4 linked regions of the Rattus norvegicus genome follow. The main gene of each other region encodes a partner of the protein of the gene in region 3 in a complex. Links are inferred from orthologs where the notes say so. Each region holds a gene or a part of one and is shown on either strand. Other genes may lie near its edges. The genes, in order: Cenpc, Hjurp, Cenpa and Ntmt1.

Region 1 (4,105 bases), on a different chromosome or scaffold from region 3:
CTAACAGCTAGAGCAGGGGCTGTCTCTTTGACTCCATTGCCTGCCATTGGATCCACTCCCCTAGCTCAACCGGCCTAAGTGGGAGAGGATGTGCTTAGTCCTGCTTCCACTCGACATCCAATTGAGGGCTAGTACTCAACCATGGGAAAGAGAGGTGTGCTGGGGGGGGGGGGGGGGGGGAGACTTCCCCTTCTCTGAGGGGACTTAGACTGGGGTGTAAAGTGAATTAATTAATTAATTAATGAAAAAATAAACAGGATGAAGATTTTGTCTTGAGATAATTTCTTTCCAGAGCTTTTATACCAAATTGTGTGCCACATTAGCACACAAAAAAGCTGTACCAGGAATGGAGTTTAGATGGTAGAAATGTTTCCTAGCATTCTAGAATCTCTGAGTCAGATCCCCAGAACCCGTAAACATGAGGTGGTGGTAAACTTTCAATCCCAACATTTACAAAGAATGGACAGGAGAGTTTAAGGCCAGTCTGGGAAACATGAGACTCTCTGTTTCAAAAAAAAAAGGGGGGGGGGTGGTACCAAAAGTTGGACTTGGTGATCTTGCAGACCCATAACCCCAGTACTTAGAAGGTGGATGCAGGAGTTCAAAGCCATCCTTGCCTACATAGTGAGTTCTTGTTGAAGGCCATCCTGGGTTACACGAGACACTGTCCCAAAACCAAACAACAACAAAAAGATATGCCAGATAAATAAGACAAAAGCTTAAATAAAAATTCTTAAAGGCAAAAGTCCATAATCTTCATAAAGTGTTTAAAAACAAAAGATGGAATCTAGGGAGCAAACTAAAGGAAAAAAAAATACCTAACAGTTTGGCTTCGTTACAAGCTTTCTCTTAGTGTCAAGATTAAACCTAGGACACATAAAACTCTACAGCACTGTATGACAGCCCCATAGCTGTGGCATGTTTACAATAGTCCCAGCATTTTTTATTTAATGGAAACGTTTAAAGCAAACACTCAGGTCTCTTTCTGGTATTCATCAATGTGAGAAATAAACCCAATCCTGAGAATGTTAAAGTACACAAGCTTCCAAACCTCGATTTATAAAACTTCTATGTTCAGCAAAATTGAAGGATCACAAATCTGCACCCTGCAACAGGTTTGAAACATGAACCCCTGCACCTCTTAGTCTGTTAAGCAGGAAAACTTTTAGGACAAAATAGGTCCCCTGCTCAGAACACTGAGCACCTACTAGAATGTCAGTGACTTAGGCACACTTAAAAGCAGGTGGTCACCAAGACAAATACGGCTCCTTAACTCTGAGTTCTAATTTAAAAAAATATTTATTTGAAAGTACAAACAGTCAACTTTAATTTATCCTTCAATTGATGTCAATTTAAGTTTCTTCTGCTATGATACTGCACTTCTCAAAAACAAAACAAAACAAAAAAAAAACACAAAACAAAACTGTGCAATAGTTTTTTGGTTTGGTTTGCGCCTATACATATCCACTAAGTGTTCTGGAACACTTCCCATCCTCTCCATCGTCCACACCCCAACTCCAAGCCTACTCTGGCAAACACAAAAGTTCCTTTGAATATGACAAAATATGTCTAAGGTAGGAAATTATCTTGAAAACCCTTGTATATAAAAACATCTGAGAACATTCTCCAGCTCATCCTTCCATTTATCTTCTAAATAGACAACGCACAGACGTCAGAAGTACAAAACTCCTAACAGTCGTAGGGTTATAATTGGCATATGATAATGTACAGCGGGCTTTGTTAAGCTTCGTTCTTTATGGCTTTAATGTTTCTTTTCTCTGATCACGTGCAACGTAAATAATATACATGATTTTGCAGAATACACACTCTACTGTCTTTTCATACATGTTCAAACATACACACACACACACACACACACACACAACTACATAATAGGAAACCATCAATGAAGATTTTTTTAAAAAGAAAAATAGAACTGCTAGATTAGGACAGAAATAAGGCATAGTAATCATAGAAAACTTGTAATGAGTATCGAGTGTGTCAAGAAACATAAAAGTTGCAAGTTATGGTCCAGGTCAAACATTTCGAAGTTGGCACCTTTCAAAATATGGTTGCCTTATATAAAGCTTTATCCTTAACAGGTGTCCCATAAATATTAGACTCTTCACATAAAATAGTATTTCGACAAATAACGTCGAATAAAGGGTTTAGCTTTGTTTTGATGGAGAAATTAATACTTGAGGTTTTCCAGACCATCAAGGCTGACTGACTTGTACAATAGTCATGACTATTTGGAAGACTGCAGAACGGGAAAAGGCTGAAACGTAGACACTGGAACAAGCTCTTCAGAGAAAAAAAGCAGGCACGGATGAGATTAGGATGTACAACCTTGGGACTACCAGTTCAGTCACTTCAGGTACCGGTAAACAATCACATCTGATTTGTTACCTGTGCAGTTCTCAATACACCCCGACAAGCCCCACCCGACTCTGGCCAGCGGGAAAAGGCACCCGCCCCATCCCACCCCTCCGCACCTCTCACAAGCCGGACGCAGCCCCCGCCCCGCGTCCCGATCGCTCGAGCACGAGACGACCGACTCACTCATCGCGCAGGCCCGACCCAGACCCGCACTTACCAGATGGAACGAGGCCATGGTTCCGGCCCACTAGGCCCAACGGAGGCCTGAGAGGGAAACCCAAGCAGGCCAGGGTTCCAGGAGGTTAAAAATCACTCAGCTAGCGTTAGATTGCGGACGGAGGCTTCCCAAGAACCGCCAGACCTGCACTTAAGACAGCCCTGAACAAACAGCAGAGACCAGCCTGGAGGGAAAAAAATTTTCAAATGAGCCACGCATGCGCACAAGCCTAGCTCAGCCAACTTGACAGCGGCCGTTACTTGCGTTTTCAGATTCCCGCCCTTGGCCCCGCCCCGTCTCCTGCTATCCACCTATCAACCCGCCTTTCTCAGGCCGCCCCGCCCTCCCTCCCTACGCCTTGCCTTTTTACTGTCGTCCCACCCTCCCACCCATCGCCCCGCCTCTCGCCCATCGCACCTCCTCTCGCCCGTCCTCCTGCCACTCTCCCGTCGCCCCGCCTCCCTCCCGTCGCCACGCCTCTCGCCTGTCGGCACGCCTCTCGCTGGTGGGCTTGGAGAGTGCTGGGCGCTCCTTCCCTCCTGCGTCTCCTTTCTTCAGCCTCTTTGCTGCGTCTACCGCTACTTGTATCTAAAATGCAGGTATTGAGCACCACCTTTGCTCCTTGAGATAAATGTATAATAAATAATACATCCCAGCAGTTTTATTACGGATTAATAGGTAATACTAAAAAGGATTAGAAGTAGAAATTGCTGGCGTTTTGAGCAGATAACTCTACGCAGATTCGTCAGCTACAACCAGTCCATCTATGCATTATCTCAGAAAATAATGTCTTCGATCTTTTTCAAGTATTTAGAAATTATTTATGAAGCATCATTGCAAGCAGAATGATTGGCATAAATTATATGTATAACAGTACAACGAACATAGATCTTTTTAAGAGAAAGTGGCTGCTTCTGTCTTATGCGAAAATTGGAAAACAAAAATACACACGGATATGTGTTTTGTCTTCTCCACGTGACTCTAGGTGACCCACCATACACAAGTCACCTAGAGTCACATGGTCGCGCCTGAAGCTGATCTATTTCCTAAGGAGACAGAATGCAAAAAGTAGATAGATAGATAGATAGATAGATAGATAGATAGATAGATAGATAGGCAGGCAGGCAGACAGACAGACAGACAGACAGACAGACAGGTAGGTAGGTAGGTAGGTAGGTAGGTAGGTAGGGTCTGGAGCGATGTCTCTGTGGTCAAGAGCTCTTGCTGCACTTTCAAAGGAGCAAAGTTCGGTTCCCAGCACCCACAAAGCAATTCAACCATTCGTAGCTCCAGTTCCGGGGGATCTGACGTCCTCGGCTGTCAGCAAGCACGCACGCGATGTCCTTGCATACATGCAGACAAAGCAATCATTCCTATAAAAAAATATTTAATTGCAGATTATTTTAGAATGATGGAGTTCAATACAAGCTAAATGTGCTCATGATGTCTGCCGAGCTTGCCAGTCAGATCCGCCAGAGGGCAGCAGAGGTGCTGCAAACTTAGTTACCT
Region 2 (4,189 bases), on a different chromosome or scaffold from region 3:
AGCTCCCAGCTGCCTCTAGGACACACCCTGCAAGCCCCGGAGCTGATCCAGCATCTGCACACAAGCTTGCTGTTAGGGTCCTGTGGACCATGATAGAGAAATAGCACACAGGAGCCAGGAGATGAAGAAACACCAGGAGGGGCAAAGGCAGAGGAGGAGATCGGTTGCCCTGAGGTGGCCTCCTCAGGGCTCACTTGTGTTGGGATTTAGTCACATCAACAACACACTATAGCAAAGCACCAAGGCAGCAAATGTGACCGTAAATACCTGAGTGTGTTCCTCGTCTTCTTCCTTTATCAGCTTTCCTCCCCAGACTCTCAATCCTTAAGAAACAAAGGTGACAAACTGAAGCAATCTGAAATGCTCGTGTTTCTGCTTAAAATGCTTTGACGGGAAACCCAACGGAACGACACAAAGCCTGCCTTAAAAGCGATCCAGGCGTTGACAGAGCCCTGTTCAGCTTGGTGAAGGAGAAAGTGTTTTAAAAAAACCAAGATCGGACAAACGTCATTAACGGCCATCTCTCCTACCCAGAAGGTGGCAGTTCACCCAATTCCAGTACGAACCCAAAGGGCTACGGACAGCTCATGTTCCAAATACATACCATTTTTAAGCTGTATGTTTGGGGTTGGGTGTGTGTGAGACAGTCTATGTTTAGTCCAGGGAGTGGCAGGAGTAGGAGGTGTGGCCCTGTTAAAGTAGGTGTGTCATTGTGGGCTTTACCAACTTCATCCTGGCTGCCTGGAAGTCAGTATGCTGCTAGCAGCCTTTAGTTGAAGATGTAGAACTCTCAGCTCCTCCTGCACCATGTCTGCCTGGATGCTGCCATGCTCCTGCCTTGATGATAACGGGCTGAACCTCTGAACCTGTAAGCCAGCCCCAATTAAATGTTTTTTTTTTGTTTTTTTTTGTTTTTTTTTTTTTTTTATAAGACTTGCCTTGGTCTTGGTGTCTGTTCACAGCAGTAAAACCCTAACTAAGATGGGGGACAGAGATGCGTATCATACATTTGACCTCATCCTGGGAGTCAGTGCTTTCTTGGGCAATCTAGAAGCACAGTACTGAGAAGCCCGTGTACAGAGAATTCTGGAGCTTGAGTGCACCAGCCCTGTCACTCCCCAGCTAGCAGAACCCATGCGATGTACTCAGCCCTAAATCTCCCAGGAAAACACATGCTACTTGGAAAAATGGTGGGTTTAGAGATTTGAGATGGTTGTATTATAAGAGAAGCAGGGGGAGAAAAATTACACAGCATCCTCTATGCTCCAGAATTCAGCAAGGACATACCATGTAGTAGTCAGAACCCGTTTGCATGTGACTCCTATACCCTCCTCAAAGCCCACAGGACAGAGACTTACCATGTTCACTGTACGGACAGAGATGCAAAGAGGAAAAGTTCAGAGGACTAGACACAGGCTCTTCCTTCATGCAGTGTAACCAGCATGTGAATTCTGGGAGGTCTGACTGCACTGACCACTGTAGGTCACAGCCTTTCCAGAAGACAGTGATGCTTGACTCTAAGAGCTCAGAGTCAAATCAAGGCTTGGCTACTCTGTGGGAATCTACATTTAATTGCATTTCCTTTTTTTTTTTTTTAAGTGCTTATGTTGCATGTTTGAAACCGAACTCTACAAAAACTCCTAAGTGCAGACACAGGTGAACTGTCAATACACTCGAACAGATTCCTGTATTGTTCTCTGCAGTCAGCTCTCTGCTCCAGTCTCCGCCTTAAGTCGGGACTTCGTTCTATTGCCCATCTGTATGGTCTCAAACTCTTTAGACACCTCACTCTTCTCATATAACTGACAGCAGTTATATATCGCCGACAAAATATATCATTTTAAGATAGATGGGCTGTCCAAAATATTCCACCAACCACCCCCAACAGCCACAAGAACACAGAAAAGCTGAGAGACAGAGAGCACACTGAAGGATTCCTACACTACTGTGTCCTGATCCCATCCAGAGAAAAGCAACCCATTGCAGTATTACTTCAGTTTCTGACTACGGAAAATGCTTACCCAATACGTCGTGCCTTGAACAGTCAAAAAGACAAAGGGCAGACTGCACTTGTCAAAGAGCTGGTCCTCTGGACCCTTGGCAGACTGTGATCCCAAATCAGATTTTATCAATAAATGAAGACAAACATCTGGGATGGGTCTTAGGGAAGGAAATAACGTCATCCAATACAAACATACCCCAGTTAGAGAACACATTAGGTTTAAGGCAGTTCACAACATTAAATAAAATGGCTTCAGAAGAGGAAGATAATAGGACTATGGCATAGCCTATGAAAACGGAGCAGTCCTGGGTGCAGTTCCAAATGGCTTGACAGGCACTCCAGTGAACACACCCATATGGAGTACCCATGGTTGTCAACATCCTTATTTTACAGAGACACTGTGCCGCTAATCAATTAGCTCGGACTTCCACGGCAGGCATTTTAAAAACCAGGCTGCACCTGTGTCTCCAGGCATTTCTCTCAGAGAAATGAACTGGACATCAGCAGTTCATGGATTCTAGGTCTGCATTGCAAATTCTAGACCCCATTGTTGTAGCACGCTGCCAAAAGAAAGAGAGGGTTCCGTACCCTGGGGCGTCTCGTAAGTCAGCGTGGCCATCTGCACCAACGGGTCATCCTCAAAGGGTTGGTTGTACTGCGGGGAAGGAGAGCTGGTCAGACGTGAGGGTGTTGGATTCCCGCCCGCCGCGCCCTTCCCGCCACGGTCGTCCCAGCCCACCTTCGCTATCAGCCGCTGCATGTACGTCTGGAAGCGTCTACTGCTTTCCTTGAGACGCTGATCCAGCGGGCGATCCCGCAGATTCATAGACTCCATGGCGTGCGTGGCTCAACCCCCGAGCACAACACCCGCCCAAGCCCGCTCACAGATCAAACATGGCGCCCCAAGCGCTGATAGGTCCTTTCGAAAGTATTTACGCAACCGATCCTGCTCGAGTTTCCGCCTCTCTCAGGGAGCGCTTCCGGCAGAAACGGGAAGGGGAGAGAAGAAAGAGAGGGCTAGGGAGCCGGTGGAGCATGCGCATTACTTCATGCGGCACTTCTGCGCCCCCTAGAGGCGTCTGGGTGAGTTGCCCGTCAAGGCTCCCACACCCCGCCTGAATCTACCAATTTCCCAGCTCTTGGGAAGGTTTGGGAAAAGCCAGCTCCAAATAATGGTCCTGAAAGGAGTCGGGAAAGCCAGTATTCAAAGACAAGACACGTATAAATGTGCTGATCGATATTATAAGCGTGACAGAATCTGTGGTTTTTATCCTAGGGTTTTGATAAACTTTCTTTCCCGTTTCTGGTTATAGGCTGTTTCTTGATTGATATTTATCTTGTTCCTTGAGGGGGTAGGTGATTTCGTGTCCATTTTATGAGAATACTTACCTTGACACTTTAGAACATTTTCAGATTTTTTTGGGGGGGGTTGTCTTCTTGCGGAGCTGGGGGATTGAACTTCAGACTAATTTGGTTTTACTCTGGCTTCATAACAGCTGCATCCGTGTGCTTGTGTTAGCGTGGTTATCACAATGCGGGCGAAAATGGAGTCATTACTGAGTATCAGGAAATCCCTTGAGTCGCCTCTCTATTTCTCAGCCTGCCCCATAACCTTTTCATGCTGTCCCACTGAAACCGGGGAAGGGAAGAAGAGCTTCCGGGTTCAGAGACTGTGGATGTCCAAGCAATGTATTTGCAACAGGCACAGAGATGAGCTATCAAGTCCCTTTCAAGATACTCAGCTTCCGGGAGGGCGTCAGTTGTCCAACTCTCTTGGGATTGAATGGAGGCTGTCTCATCCAATCTGTCCCTACCCCGACATGACCCTGCTCCATGTGAGGATGTGAAAATGTGTTGCTTCAGAGCAACGGTGGTGGTGTCAACCAGATATGCTATTCTGTCTCCTGTGTGCCTCTAGCTTTCCCCATCCTGATGTGCTGAACTTCTCTGGACTGCAAGCTTAAAGTCGAACTTTCTTTCCTTAACTTGCTTTTTGCTAGGTGTTTTCTCACAGTAATAACAAAATACCCAAGACGCTGTCAATTTACAGATAATCTTGACTCCGGATAGAACGTTCATGACCACTGTGTTAGAAAGAGGCATAAACAGTTCATCAGAGTGCGTTTAGCTACATAGGTGGAAATGGTTTCAGAATACTGATTGTCATTGAGAAAACTCAATCAAAGC
Region 3 (4,077 bases):
CCTGGGTTCAACCCCTGGTGCTGCACACAGGAACCCTTAGCTTTAGCTGGGTTACTTAAGGTCCAGCCAAGAAAGAGACTCTATCCCCAGCAGTAAGGAACACCTGAGGAAAATGGAAGAAGGGAGACGAGAGGAGAGGTGGGCCGTGCCAGGCAGGTGGTGGAGACTTAATCCCGAGTGAGCCGAAGTCCCAAGCAGTGTCTAGGAGACTGGAGACACTTAAGACAAAGAGGGAGGACCCTGCTCTACTTTGGTTGCTGTTGCTGCGATTAAAACACCACCTCGAAGACCAACCTGGGGAGGAAAGGGGTTATGTGAGTTCAAGCCCACCTACCCACATAGGAGGTGGCAGCGCCACCCACAGTGGACTGGGCCTTCCGACATCGATAAGCAATTTAAAAAAAAAATGCTTCACATGGGCTGGAGGTGGCTCAGTGGTTAAGAGCACTGAATGTCCTTCCAGAGGTCCTGAGTTCAAATCCCAGCAACTACATGGTGGCTCACAACCATCTGTAATATACATTAAATAAATATTTTAAAAAATATTTCACAGACATGGCCATAGGCCAGCCACTCTGACAGAAGCAATTCCTCAGCTGAAGTTCCCCCTTCCTGGGTGACTAAATTCATAGCAGGCTGTCCACTGACGCTAACCATGATGCACCACGACTAAGAGATAAACTATGAGTAGCTGCCTCTTCCCCACCACTTATGGGAGCACAGCTGAGGGAGGGGTGGTGAGAGGGTGTTGTTACCAGGTACACGCTCACAGAAAACAAAGGCAGCACAACCAGAGACCACCAAAGAACTCGACTAACACCAGAAGAGAAGGGAGCCAAACTCAAGAATCCAAATAAACTCTACCCAAGGAGTTGGAACAGAGGAGAGAACTGGGCGCCATGCTGTGCACTTGCAATCCATGGCTCGACAGGCAGAGGTAGGAGCCTAGACTGGTGAGGCCTTATTTTCTCCCCCAAAAAGGAAGATTTTTGAGAAATATAAGAGGAAGAGAGCTCTAAGATTCATGATGCAAGAACAGATGTTTATGAAACGCAAGGCATCGGAGTCGACCCGGAGAGACTGGGTTCAAACACACTGAAGCCGGGTCTCAAGAGTCAACATAAGCAGTTGGGAGCCAGAGAATTTCAAGCAGGACTTACATACTAAGGCTCTTTCCAGCCAGGCCCATGGGCTCTCACCTACAATTCCAACAACTGGGAAGCAGAGACAAGGTGTCCTGAGCTCCAGGGTGGCCTGAGATATGTGGAAGCCACTGTCGCACCAAAACCGGTTTTATCGGGGGTTGGGGATTTAGCTCAGTGGTAGAGCGCTTACCAAGGAAGCGCAAGGCCCTGGGTTTGGTCCTCAGCTCCGAAAAAAAGAACCAAAAAAAAAAAAAAAAAAAAAAAAACTGGTTTTATCTTATTCTAGGTGTATCTGTTTTGCCTACATGTATGTCTGCGTATGCAGTGCCTGCAGAGGCCAGAAGGATCCTCTGGAACTGGAGCTTCAGATGGCTGAGAGCTGTTATGTAGAGCAAGGTAGCAAGGACAACAAAGTCCCTTACAGCACAAAAGGAAGATATATCCAAGAGCCCACATAAAAGAAGGGATGACTTGGGAAAGGAAGGGGACATCCAGGAAAAGGCCGTGAGTGTGAGGGCAAGGGCTTAGGCTGAAGGAAGTGGAAGAAGGAAAAAGCGCTAAATAGCTGGAAGCAAGCTTACTAGACAAGGGCAGTAGGAGAGTCAAGAAGTGTGTGAGCACATCTGAGATAAAACTTTTCCCTAAGATAAGAGTAATGGAAGGTTGCTTCTACACTGGAAATCAACAGCCAACATCATACAGATACATCAGCTCTGGCAGCGGTAGGTACAAACATGACCACACTATTCCTTTAGAGCCTCACGGTCCCTCTGTGAAAAATTGAATGTGGTGGTGTGTGCCTTTAATCCAAGTACAGAGAGGAAGAAGCAGGCATGTAAATCTAATTCTAAAGCCCTTCATACAGAGGGTTGGAGATGTAGTTCTATAATCGAACCCTTGCCTAGCAAGCTCAGAGTCCTGAGTTCTATCTCTAGCCCTGCAAATAAATAATAAAAAGTAGGCGTTGGAAAACTAGCTCAGCTGTTAATAGCGCTAGCTGCTCTTCCAGGGGGCCTGGGTTCTGTTCCAGCACTCTTACTGGGCAGCTCCACAACTCTCTGTAACTCCCGGCTCCGGGCTTCCGATGCCCTCTTCTGGCTATCGCCAGCACCTTCGCACATGTAGCATACACTCAGACACACACACACACACACACACACACACACACACACACACACACACACACACTCACTCTCACACACACACTCTCTCTCTCTCTCTCTCTCTCTCTCACACACACACACACACACACACACACACACACACACACACACAAATATTAAATAAATCCTTAAAAAAGACCCCGTGTCTGTTAGAATGTGTTGTGTATCTCTGCTCAAGCAACCTATCTGGTCTGCGGCTCTTCTTTTTTTCCCCCCCTCCGGCTGTAAAATGGCCAGGAAAGAAACCATTAACCCCATGCGTGGTTAGCGGCATGGCTTGACCAGGGGCAAGGGTCCCTCTGCTGGCCCGCCTCGCAAGGTCACGGAAGCAGCCTCGGTGGTGCAGGGAAGGCCCGCTTACCTACTCCGGAGCTCCGTCGCGAGGGTCCGGGCGCCGGACTGGAGGGCCGCCTCGTCGGAGTCCTCGACTGGCGACGCGAGTCCGTGGCTGGCTGAGAGGGTCCGGGCGCCGGACTAGAGGGTCGCCTCCTCGGGGTCCCTGGCTTGCGGCGCCCGACCATGGCTGGACGCGAGGGTCCGGGCTCAGCCGACTCCTCCTAAGCCTTCCGGGTCCTGCGGCCAAAACGGAACTCGACAGCAAGCCTACCGTGCCCGAGTCAGGGACGCCGGATCTCCGCCGCCAGTAGTTCAAAAATCAGACGCTCCGCCCACCGCATTTTTAAAATCCACTCCGTGACTCTCAGTGGCTGGCTCTGAGCGTAGAGCGACATTCGGAAGAGCCAATGGGAACAATTGCCTGAACCTCAGAGTCCGCCAATGGGTACTTGGAGAAGCGAAGGAAAAGGCGGGACTTTCCCACCCTTTGCTTCTTGATCCCTTACGGACAGGACTCACTTTCTCAGGACCACTCTGGGCTAAAGGACAATTCAGTTCTTATGTGGATGATGGGTTTTAGAGCTCATTTCCTCAAACGTTGCATGCTTTCCTATCAAACATTGAGTGGCTCTAAAAATGCGGAAACAGACTGCCCAAGAATGTGACAACTCCACCAGCGCCCGTAACCCTCTTGAAAGCAACCAGCAAGTGTGATTCAGAAACCAGGTTAACTGCGTCATCCTTTCAGAAGATAGGGTGGTGGTGACAGCCAGGACCATGGGATCTGAGCACAAGGTCCAGGAGGGCAGGCGCCAACACTATTCTTGGACCGTGCTATCGAACACAATGACAGAATTGTCCGAGAAAAACCGTCTTTTCCCTTTTCTCCTGGGGGTAAAATGAATTCAGGTCATGTCTCCCTAATTAGAATAAAGAGAATTTCAGTTTCGTCATTTTGCTTTTTTGAGTTTTCTAAATGATCTATCGTGAACGTGTACTCTAATCAGGAAAATACTTATATAATCAGTGGTTTCATAGAAGCCTTGTGGAACATTGGGGTGGGTGGTGTAAAATGGCGCAGCTGCTATGGAAATGTGTCATGGTTCGAATTTGAAATGTCCTCCAAAAGCTTGGTGTTCCCTGTTCAGGAGTGGGGACTTTGGGAGATGATTGGGCCACAGGTGCTCTGGCGTCATCTGTGGATTCCTTTAATCCCAGCACTCGGGAAATAGAAGCAGGTTTGTTACAAGCTCAGGGGCAGCCGACCTACCTAGTGAGTTCCAGGCTTGTCAGAGCTGTGAGTGAGATTTTATTTTATTTTTGTCTCAAACAAACAAAAAGCCAACAGCCAACTGGTTCAAGCTCCAGTATGCTACCTACAAACACAACATTTAAACACAGAATTACTATATGATCCAGAAGTCAAAGACACA
Region 4 (3,560 bases), on a different chromosome or scaffold from region 3:
ACCGCAGGGCCCTTCCTCTGAGTCCCAGAAAGCCGAGTCAGGCACCTGCACTGGTTTGTCACAGAAGGGCAAGTGGAAGTCTTTCTCAGGTCACTTTCAAGGTGACAGCTAGAAAAAACAGGTGCACAATCTGCTCTCACTTCAGAGCTCCCAGGAGCCCATAGGGTGACAGAGTTAGGGATGGCCCATGGGGGTGTGGAGAGAGGGTAAGGGCCTCCTCCAAGGCTCACCCCTGAGCTGCACAGAGCTGAGAAGGGAGGACGGTCACCACCCACAGTCCGCACACTCTTAGGCCCAGCAGTGACTGTTCCCAGACTACTAAGTCCCTAGTGCATGGCCAGCTTCTGACTTGTGGCCCTGAGACAAAACTCACGGTCCACAAGTCCCACCCAATCACCACCCAGATCTTCAGGGCCTTGGTGGCAGCCACCAACAAGATGAGCAGAGAACCTGCAGTGTGGTATGTGGAAGAGGCTCCCCGCACTGCCCCGCCAGAGCCACAGCCTCTCCTGGAGAGGACATCAGACCTGCCTACCCTTAAAAACCTCTGCAGAAACTTCCGGGAGCTGTTGAGGTCGATGTTGGAGATGTGGCCATACCCCCCGAGCATGCCGTCCACCGTGGGCGGAATCTGCTTCCAGTAGGTCTTGGCCTTCGAATAAAACTGTTTCTCATCTTCGATCACCTCGCTTGTCATGACGTCACCAGCTGCACAGTCACCAGCCACTGCTCTGCTCCCCTGAACACGGAAGAGGCAGGGTCAACAGGGCACTGAATGGCAGGAAGCCTCTAGTATACAGGCCATAATGCGAGAGGCACTACCTCTCTGAGAGGTAATGAAGCCCTGAGAAAGCAACATCCAGTCGCCTAGGCAGCCCAACATCCCGGACATCCATGTGACTCTCTTGACCTCAGGACAGGCAAAGGCCACAGAGCAGGGTTCCCTGACTTCTGCTATGGACACCCCAGAAGGCCTGAGCAACTTCCTTCCCTTTCTACTCCCTCAGTGGCAAGCGAACAGGTCAGGGAGGGCCAGCCCTTCATTCCAGAGCACGTTCTCTGCCAGGCACCAGACTGTGGCAATAGGCAGGAGCTAGGCACAAACAGGACCCCAACAGGAAGAACTAGGCTGGCAGCACCCACGCCAGCTTCCACACCATGTGTTGTGGAAGACGCAGGATCACAACTGTGGGAGGTGCTGGCTCCCCTGTGTCCCAGCTAGTGCGAGGATCGGTGTTCACAGTCCAGCAGGAGACAGGGAAGCAGAAAGCTGCTAAACACAGCAGAAAACAAGGGCCCCTCCGTCCTTACATGGCTTTCATAAAGGCTGTGCAGTCAATGGAGCCATCTCTTCCTTTTGTTTCCAGTGGAACCCAGGTCTTGTACCACTGGATAAGCACCCCACTGGGCCTGGTGGGCTCTAGAGGACTGCTTTCTGAATGGGGGCAGGGGGGCCTCTGGGGGAGGGGTACAGGGACAGAGAAAGTGATAGGGGCAGCAGCAGGGCCACAGTGAGAATGACTGAGAAGCAGCAGAAGACTTTTACAGAGGAGCAGCCCTGAACTGCGGCCTGCTGGCCCCTGCTGGCCTCTGCTGGCTCCTGCTGGCCCCTGCTGGCTCCTGCTGGCTGAGGAGCTCACGAAGTTGATAGTCACTGAAAACTAATTAAGTGTCCAATTCACGAGAAACACCCAGGACTAACCCGAGGGTGTCAGGGGGAAGCAGATACAGCGGTAGCTGTGCTGAAAGACAGTGGACAAGTGTCGGTCACTGCTCAGCCACTGTCCAGCATCCGACCTTCCCCTGCCACCATTACCCACTGTACAGAAGAGGGACCCGGGGGACATAGAAACTAAAAGCCCTGCCCAGGTCAAAGGGTCCATGCACTGCTCTCCCCACACAGGCAGCTTTTCCGCTAAAACACTGGCTTCACGGGGCAGGGCCCTGCCATTCACACTTCACACCATGACGGCCCTCGGCACCATGTCTGCCAGGCTAATGACAAAGGAAGGCCCTTAGGAGGCAACAGTGTGTCTGCTTGGAGGGCCAGTGAGGAAGCTAGGATGCTATAGGAACATGGCCAGCCTTGGAGCTCCAGGTCTCACCCCACCGACTTGGATACCACTATGACAGGCGGTGTCACCGAGCACCTAAGTCACACAGCTCAACACTAACAGTCAGCATGGGACTCTGGGAGCAAAAGAGCAAAGCCAGAGAAGAGAGCAATAAAGAGGCTCACACCAGAAAGGAGCCCCGTGGGCTGCTGGGAGGTCCCTGCCGAGTACTTCTGTGACTGGAAGGGGGAGGGAACACAAGAGCACAGTGGCCTTATCTGTCACCAGCCCCCACTGCACCACAACCACACTCTTTGGGACAAGGGCTTGGTGTCAGAGGAAGACGTCTTACATGGCTGTACTGCACCCCAAGAGGCCCTTGGAGCAACAGATTGAGGACCTTGGTTCTAAATGGCACACTCCTTTACCACAATGCCCTGCCAGCAGCAGCAGCAGCACTGGCCCAGGGAAGACAACGGCAGGCTTCTGAGAACCGATGCCCTGGCCCACAGAGCAATGTGCAGACCGGTAGGTCCCCCAAGAACATCTCCTCTACCAGCGGAGCGGTACTGTGGCTTGAGAACCAGAGACATGGTACATGAGCCATCACCATGTACTTGATTGGGGACTGAGAATGACCTGGGACAAGAGGGCTGTCAGGTGCCTCTTTAGGCACCACAGCAACTCTGTCACAGCCACCAGCAGCTAGGACGATATTCAGGCCTCTTCCACACACACACACGAGCTCTGTGCTGGCCCCGCCCGTACTGGGGCCCAGCAGCCAGCCTTCCTCGCTGTCCCTAAGTCCTAAGAAAATGTTCAGACTGATGTTCAAAGCCCCCTCCAATGTGAAAACGACGACTTCAGTTATTTCCTCATAGCCCACGCAGCACGCGGGCCTGCAGCACGCGATCTGGCCCTTACCAGGTGAGAGGGGAAATGGGAGACACCCACAGAAGGGAGCACACTCCGCCTCTCTGCTGCCCCCCAGTTTGCCCGCTCCTCCAAGCGTCTTTTGGGGTGCTGGAGTTCAGCTGGGCTTGCTAGTTGGCGGTAGAATGACTGAGCGAGGGAGCATGCGTGGGGGCAGCCATTTCTCACTTTTGGAGGCTCCTAGACCCCTCAAACCAGACGACACTACTATTACCAACAATATCTGTTGCTTTACTAAAAGCCTGTGGCATAATTCCTTTAAATGCCACAAAGTCTCTTGAAAAAATCTCATTTACAAGAACCCCACTAGCTACTAGGGAGCAGCTATGGGGGAGGGGTGGGGCTGGAGCAGGGGATGGACACATCCAGACTGGGGAATGCAAGTCCTGGGTTGATTTGCTCTTACAGCCAACTCGGGAAGAAGACACATGCTTCCTGAGGCCCTGTCCCAACATGGCTCTCTAGGGCCCACTGTGTGGCCTGAAGGCTCCTGAGAATTAGGGACATCAAGAGAGACATCCTCCCTGGGCGGAGACACACATCTTTAATTCCAGCAATAGGGAGGCAGAGGCA

Evidence for each region.
Region 1: Cenpa (region 3) and Cenpc share a complex: the UniProt entries of both Homo sapiens proteins name them as parts of the CENPA-NAC complex. The link is inferred for Rattus norvegicus from reciprocal best matches to the Homo sapiens genes CENPA and CENPC.
Region 2: the proteins of Cenpa (region 3) and Hjurp are in contact, whole or in part, in a crystal structure (PDB 3R45), measured with the Homo sapiens proteins. The link is inferred for Rattus norvegicus from reciprocal best matches to the Homo sapiens genes CENPA and HJURP. Residues at the interface, in NP_001800.1 of Homo sapiens: Lys64, Leu65, Ser68, Arg69, Arg72, Asp83, Phe84, Asn85, Trp86, Gln87, Ala88, Gln89, Leu91, Leu92, Ala93, Glu96, Ala97, Ala100, Phe101, His104, Glu107, Asp108, Leu111, Leu112, Leu114, His115, Ile132, Glu136; in NP_060880.3 of Homo sapiens: Glu14, Asp15, Leu18, Lys21, Leu22, Ser25, Arg26, Arg28, Phe29, Arg32, Met33, Leu36, Lys39, Tyr40, Pro43, Phe44, Thr47, Pro48, Val49, Val50, Gln51, Met52, Ala53, Thr54, Leu55, Ile65, Trp66, Gly67.
Region 4: the proteins of Cenpa (region 3) and Ntmt1 are in contact, whole or in part, in a crystal structure (PDB 5CVD), measured with the Homo sapiens proteins. The link is inferred for Rattus norvegicus from reciprocal best matches to the Homo sapiens genes CENPA and NTMT1. Residues at the interface, in NP_001800.1 of Homo sapiens: Gly2, Pro3, Arg4, Arg5, Arg6, Ser7; in NP_001273725.1 of Homo sapiens: Tyr19, Trp20, Met30, Leu31, Gly32, Tyr34, Ile37, Trp136, Asn168, Ile175, Asp177, Asp180, Asp212, Glu213, Ile214, Tyr215.

The regions. Positions count from the first base shown.
Region 1 is NC_086032.1:22,341,637-22,345,741, reverse strand, and holds the start of Cenpc (centromere protein C), read right to left. Parts: upstream 2,833-4,105; 5' UTR 2,615-2,832; coding exon 2,597-2,614; intron 1-2,596. UniProt on the Homo sapiens protein: Component of the CENPA-NAC (nucleosome-associated) complex, a complex that plays a central role in assembly of kinetochore proteins, mitotic progression and chromosome segregation.
Region 2 is NC_086027.1:96,312,622-96,316,810, forward strand, and holds the start of Hjurp (Holliday junction recognition protein), read right to left. Parts: upstream 2,838-4,189; coding exon 2,742-2,837; intron 2,658-2,741; coding exon 2,591-2,657; intron 324-2,590; coding exon 268-323; intron 1-267. UniProt on the Homo sapiens protein: Centromeric protein that plays a central role in the incorporation and maintenance of histone H3-like variant CENPA at centromeres.
Region 3 is NC_086024.1:31,428,708-31,432,784, forward strand, and holds the start of Cenpa (histone H3-like centromeric protein A), read right to left. Parts: upstream 2,846-4,077; 5' UTR 2,830-2,845; coding exon 2,670-2,829; intron 1-2,669. UniProt on the Homo sapiens protein: Histone H3-like nucleosomal protein that is specifically found in centromeric nucleosomes. Replaces conventional H3 in the nucleosome core of centromeric chromatin that serves as an assembly site for the inner kinetochore.
Region 4 is NC_086021.1:34,501,698-34,505,257, reverse strand, and holds part of Ntmt1 (N-terminal Xaa-Pro-Lys N-methyltransferase 1), read right to left. Parts: intron 740-3,560; coding exon of another isoform or gene 698-739; coding exon 536-697; intron 1-535. UniProt on the Homo sapiens protein: Distributive alpha-N-methyltransferase that methylates the N-terminus of target proteins containing the N-terminal motif [Ala/Gly/Pro/Ser]-Pro-Lys when the initiator Met is cleaved.